Tribolium castaneum: one gene and its partner. The protein of the gene in region 1 interacts with the protein of each later gene in a pairwise test. Links are inferred from orthologs where the notes say so. Each region holds a gene or a part of one and is shown on either strand. Other genes may lie near its edges.

Region 1 (2,521 bases):
TTACATTAGTTTTTTTGAATAGAATCATATTATGTAAAACTATATAGGGTGTTTCATAAAAAAAATAACTTCACCACTCTGTGTACAATAAAAATATTTTTAGTTTGTGGACCATCTATCGATCTGTCGGACTATCTATCGGATGATTAAAATGGCATGGCAATATTTCAAATAACAAAAAAGTTATGGATTGATTATGATTACGCACCCCTGGGTCACACTGTATTTAGTAAAAAATTACTCTTAATAGACCCTATAGATAACATCGGTCTCCTTGTAAAAATAATTTTTTAACACAAAAGAACGTCAAGTAATAGCAAAATTTATTGGACTGTTATTTTTTGTTTTCTCATAAAAATTGTTCTTTTTAAATCATCAAACCTAAAGTCAGGAGTTACAAAACATTTTCTTTGTTTTGTGTTCAGGAAAACCACACGAAATCATCAACACCTACACCGAGGCGGTGCAAACCGTCGACCCCAAACTCGCCGTAGGCAAACTGCACACCCTCTGGGTCGAATTCGCCAAATTCTACGAAACCAACAAACAAATCGAGGACGCTCGTCTCATTTTCGAGAAAGCCACTCAAGTGGCGTACGTGAAAGTGGACGATTTGGCGACGGTTTGGTGCGAATGGGCCGAAATGGAGATACGAAACGAAAACTACGAGCAAGCCCTCAAACTCATGCACAGAGCTAGCACCATGCCATCACGCAAAGTGGCCTATCATGACGACACCGAGACCGTGCAAGCCAGACTGTACAAGTCGCTGAAAGTCTGGTCGATGTTGGCCGACTTGGAGGAGAGTTTCGGGACGTTTAAGTCATGCAAAGCGGTCTACGACAGGATTATTGACTTGAAAATTGCAACCCCGCAGATTATTATCAATTACGGGTTGTTCCTAGAGGAGAATAATTATTTTGAGGAGGCGTTCCGGGCCTATGAGAAGGGGATTTCGCTGTTCAAGTGGCCGAACGTTTACGACATTTGGAACACGTACTTGAGCAAGTTCTTGAAGCGTTATGGGGGGAGCAAGTTGGAGAGGGCGCGCGATTTGTTCGAGCAGTGTTTGGAGAACTGTCCTCCACAATTCGCCAAACCCCTCTACCTCCTTTACGCGAAGTTGGAGGAGGAGCACGGAATGGCCCGACACGCCATGGCTGTGTACGAAAGGGCCACAAACGCTGTCCCTCAGGAGGAAATGTTCGAAATATTCAACATTTACATCAAAAGGGCGGCCGAAATTTACGGGATTCCCAAAACGCGCCAGATTTACGAGAAAGCGATTGAGGTCCTTCCGGAGGACAAAACTCGGGAGATGTGCGTCCGTTTCGCCGATATGGAGACGAAGTTGGGCGAGATCGACCGAGCTCGCGCCATCTACTCGCACTGTAGCCAGATTTGCGACCCGAGGGTCACGACTGAGTTCTGGCAGATCTGGAAGGAGTTTGAGGTGAGGCACGGGAATGAGGACACGATGAGAGAGATGTTGAGGATCAAGAGGAGTATCCAAGCGATGTACAACACTCAGATTAATATGATGTCGGCTCAGATGCTGAGTTCGGCGAGTTCCGTGGCGGGGACTGTTGCTGATCTGGCGCCGGGGGTTAAGGATGGGATGCGGTTGCTTGAGGCGAAGGCGGCGGAAATGGCAGGGACGTCGAGTGGGGTCCGGCCTGGGAATATTATGTTTGTGAGGGGAGAGACGCAAGGGGATAATAAGGATAAGGTTGTTAATCCGGATGAGATTGATATTGGGGATGATGACGACGAGGAGGAGAATGAGGACGAAGGGGAGGATGTGCCGGTTGAGAAGCAGAGTATTCCGTCGGAAGTGTTTGGTGGGTTGAAGAAGAAGGATGATCAGGGGGAACAGGATGAGGGATGAATGGGTTAATCTATTATTACTGATGTGTATTTAAGGATAAATAAAGTGTTTTACTTTTACTACTACTGTTTTACTTATTTGTTCAATAAAAAAGAAAAAAACCATTTGACCAAAAAATCACATTGGCTGTTTTTTACATCAATGGATCGGAAATGCGAAATAAAATTATTCTGGAAAAATTTAACTTGAAAAAAATAGTTAGAATTTGATTAAAAGCCATTTTGACATTATTCATAGGGAATTTCAGTCTAATTTATGAGGGACAAGATTGAGTAGTAATAAATCTCCGCTACAAAAGGACCCACTACCTACCCCAATAACAGTAATGATGACTGCAGGAATTTTACAACTAGCGGCACGGTCCTATCGGGCAGTTTTAAAGCCAGGACCGGAATAAGCACACTAACGTATTAAAAATTAAATTGATGACTATTTTGGTCTAAGCACAAACGAATTCTTCGTTTACAATTCGCATGAACCCTTGCCGCAAGATTTAAAGATTAACATTCCATTTGCAATAAACAGATCAAATAAATGGGAATCCGGGCCTGAAAAATTCTTACTGGCTGCCTCAACCTTCAGACCCAACAATGATCGCGTGCAAATTTTACGACAAATGCAATAAATTTTTGA
Region 2 (4,069 bases), on another chromosome or scaffold:
ATAAAAACATGCTGCGGTCAAACATAACCTATCAATGATAAACGTAACCTCAATCCTCAAACTTGAAGAACCCAAAGTTGCCAACTCAATAATTTATCGTCAGGTTTATAACTTGCACAATAATACCAATTTTTGTAACCTATTTTGTGAATAAAGCGAGGTGTTTCATTTATTCTTTTCATGTAATCTTTGTGGCAAAGTAAATAAATAAAGACAAATTCTTTTGCACAAGTTTAATTTGGCAATATGGCTGTCGGTAATGTAGCAAACATTAAAAAGGTAATTTAAATATTTTCTTGTTATTTTATTTAAAGTATTTAAATCTTTTTTTGTGCTCTTTTAAAATACGAAAAACTAGTGCCTAAAACATTCCTGGGTAAATAAAAATACAATTTACGTTTAGTAAGTTCTTTATTATTTTCATTACATAAAATCAAAAATTCTTAAATATTTTTTATTGTATTTCTCCACACGCTGCTATTACTACTTTCTCCGTGGGCGTCCCACTCTTGGTCCCACACCTTTCCATCCTTCTCACAACGTCCATCCCACTTATAACATGCCCAAAAACCACGTGTTTTCCATCCAACCAATCCGTTTTTGCCGTGCAAATAAAAAATTGCGACCCATTGGTATTTGGTCCCGAATTGGCCATTGATAAAGTCCCTGGACCCACGTGTTTCAATTCAAAATTTTCATCAACAAATTTCCGACCATAAATTGATTTTCCTCCTGTACCATTGTGGTTGGTAAAATCGCCACCTTGACACATCTAACCGTCATTAAGGAATTTAGCAAGTAATGTTGGCAACTTAATTTCACAGCCGTAGCCCTCTTTAATAAACAGGTCCCAGCGAGCCGAAAAGGCTCCAAAATTTTTTTATTATTAGACATATTGATTTTTCCTTTTTTAGCTTACAGCTGCGTTTCTGCTGCATATTTTGAAAATATTGAGGTAGTCAGGGTTAGGGCTAGGAATTTTTACCGATATATCGATAAAAAGATCGATATATCAATATATATAGACATATCGATAATTATCTAAAACTGTCGATACACCACATGCCGATAACTATCGATAATTTATTATCAATATTCCGACAAATTTCGTTATTATCGTTTAACTTTAGTTAAACGTAAAAAATTAGATCTTCTCAAAAAAAATTATCGTACAAGATTTAATTTTTTGTACAATTGTTAAATAGAGAACTGAAAAATGTAATCAAAACCAAAAACAGTTGAGGATTGCCTACCCAAAAAAGACGGCGATTTAAAATCGACGGGTTAGAACATTTTTTGCAAAAATATTAGCATTAGTACAAAACTTTATGATTTCTGTATAATTTAAACATAAATTTAACAAAAAAAACAAGTATTTCACCATTTCAACTTTTTTAAATTTAACAGTAACATTTATTAGGTACTATCATTTATCTATAAATACCCATGTTTTTATCGCTCTATCGTAAATATCGATACTTCAATATAATATATCGATATTTCGCCAATCTTCGATATGTATCGGTGTATCGATATATCGGTATGTATCGATTATTGATATTTAAATCTTAATATCGCCCACCCCTAGTCCTGGTAACGACAATGCTCATAAATAATGTGTACTGCTGCTGAAATTAATTTTTAAAGTAAAATAGATTTTTAGTTATTAACTTTAGGCATTTGAAACTTTATGTTTTTAGACAATTTAATGACCTTTAAGAAGCAAAAACAAAAAATAGGGTGTTCTATTTAACTTTTCCAGGTTATCCAACTTTTAACAAACTTCTTAATTTTTCTACGTTCCTAATTGCAATGCGTTAAACAGTTGATACAGATTTAAGTTTGAAAAACTGAAAAAAACAAATTATTTCAAAAACTAAACAGAATCGATTACGTCCAAAACTGTAATAAAATTTAAAGTGTTCTATTTGAAAAAAACATAACTAGTTTTTTTTTTTAATATTGGGAAATCTTAAAATATACCGCAATATTTTTAACATCTGTAGCAGAAACACAGTTATAATCCAGAAAAAAAAGAAAAAGTGAATATTTCTTATGATAAACAAGTTATGGGGCTTGTTGACAATATAATTTTTCTTTGGGTAAAAAGGATACAAAGTCTGGAATTATTCTATGGAAAGTGGAGCCCTGAAAACCGTAACCCTTTTCATGGGTGCATAAACACCTAAAATTTTCTGCAGTTCTGGGGACCACATCAGCCCTCAACAGCATTGTTATTCTACCGACTTCAGTCTTGCCAATCTTAATGTCGAAGTAAACTTGAGGGTTTTTGACTTTTTTGCTGTCACTTTTGTCAGCATCCTGGGAAAAAATTGCTCAAAAAAATCAAAAAATCAAGAGAAATTTTTACGTTATCTGTTGCCTCTTTAGTTCCATCATCAGGATCATTAATAGTCTTGCCGATTGTCTCGCCTGCGTGCTGCTGAAGCCAGGTGTCTTCAGACCAAACAGGCCGTGTCGAACCCTCTTTAATTCGCTGTGGTTTGGCTAAATTGACTCTGATGGTTCTACCAAAAAGCTCAGAATCATTCTAAAACTGATATTTAAAAATTGTCCATTATTTAACTTTGGTGTTACCATATTGTCGATTGCTGCAGCCGCGTCTTCCGCACTCTCAAACTCGATGAAAGCGAACCCCCTGTGCTTTTCCGTCTCATAGTCCAGAGGGATCTGAATGTCGACAATGTCACCAAAGGGGATAAAAGCCGCGTTCAGGACTTTATCGTCGACTTCTTCGGCGAGCCCCCCGACGTAAATAGTGCGTTTGGAACCGGTGCTCATTTTTCAAAAAACATTGACACAACCTCACTTTTGTGCGAAACCTTTGACACCCTTAACGCGCCTGCGCAACTATCAAGTGTTTAACCATCATTGGATTTTTACGTAAAAACGTAAATTAATGGCATTTTAATTACTACTTGAGCACTGCCGTCCGTTTCAATTCAAGTAATTAATGTGAAAAATCGATATAAAAGTGTGCGACTTGGGGAATTTCTTTTCCCCCGATTTTGTCAAGTGTCAGATGAGTTTGACAGGGGCAACGAACGATAACTTCTCCCGTTTGTCTCAGCCATGTTGGCCTGTCTGAGGCGAAAATTCGAGTTTTGCGCGAGATCTTGAGTAAAAAAACATTATGCCCAAGTGCGATGTTAAAACTAGATACATACCAGCGACTTTTGCTTGGACTTTACTGTTGGTAGCCACAACGTTGTTCTTCTACTACCCGTGAGTTATTCCTGTCAGTGTTTATGTTACCAAATTTAGGCAAACGTTACGCTTGTTAGAGCCCGATACTACTTAGAGGATTATCCATGGGTGCCCGCGTACCAAGGAGTGATCACGTTCTTCGTCCTCGCCAATTTCACCCTCGCTACGTTCATGGACCCGGGGGTCATACCAAAAGGTGCGTAACAACCCCCTTGTAGCGCTAATTGAGCTGGTTTTTAGCCCCTCCTGATGAAGACCGCGAGGACGATTTCAGGGCCCCCTTGTACAAGAACGTGGAGATCAACGGGATTACGGTGCGGATGAAATGGTGCGTCACGTGCAAGTTCTACAGACCACCGAGATGTTCACATTGTAGTGTTTGTAACCACTGTATAGAAGTGAGTTGTGGAATTGGTTGAAAAAATTGGTAAATCCCCGATTTTTTACAGACTTTTGACCACCACTGTCCATGGGTCAATAATTGCATTGGGAGAAGAAATTACCGATTTTTCTTTTTCTTTCTCATCTCACTTAGCTTACACATGATCAGTATATTTACTTTAAGCCTAATTTACATCCTCAAATATGGTGATACTTTCTCCAACGCTGAACCAATTATTGCGTATCCTTTTCGATTTTTTTGTTACGAATTTTCAACATTCTAGCTAATTTTACCTTAATTTTTCCCAGTTTTGTCTTAATGGGTTTGGTGGCTTTGTTAGCTATACCAATTTTTGGCTTAACAGGGTTTCATATGGTTTTGGTCTCGAGAGGAAGGACCACCAATGAACAAGTCACGGGGAAATTTAAGGGCGGTTACAACCCCTTCTCGAGGGGCTGC

Evidence for each region. The genes of interacting proteins can lie anywhere in the genome.
Region 2: the proteins of fand (region 1) and cyp33 interact in a two-hybrid assay, tested with the Caenorhabditis elegans proteins (2 studies listed by BioGRID). The link is inferred for Tribolium castaneum from reciprocal best matches to the Caenorhabditis elegans genes syf-1 and cyn-13.

The regions. Positions count from the first base shown.
Region 1 is NC_087398.1:14,018,574-14,021,094, reverse strand, and holds the end of fand (pre-mRNA-splicing factor syf1 homolog), read left to right. Parts: intron 1-425; coding exon 426-1,888; 3' UTR 1,889-1,947; downstream 1,948-2,521.
Region 2 is NC_087394.1:24,073,918-24,077,986, forward strand, and holds cyp33 (peptidyl-prolyl cis-trans isomerase E), read right to left. Parts: upstream 2,803-4,069; coding exon 2,599-2,802; intron 2,552-2,598; coding exon 2,372-2,551; intron 2,323-2,371; coding exon 2,116-2,322; intron 773-2,115; coding exon 455-772; 3' UTR 393-454; downstream 1-392. Other genes in the region: palmitoyltransferase ZDHHC8, read left to right, coding at 3,155-3,246, 3,306-3,424, 3,469-3,626, 3,678-3,850, 3,919-4,069.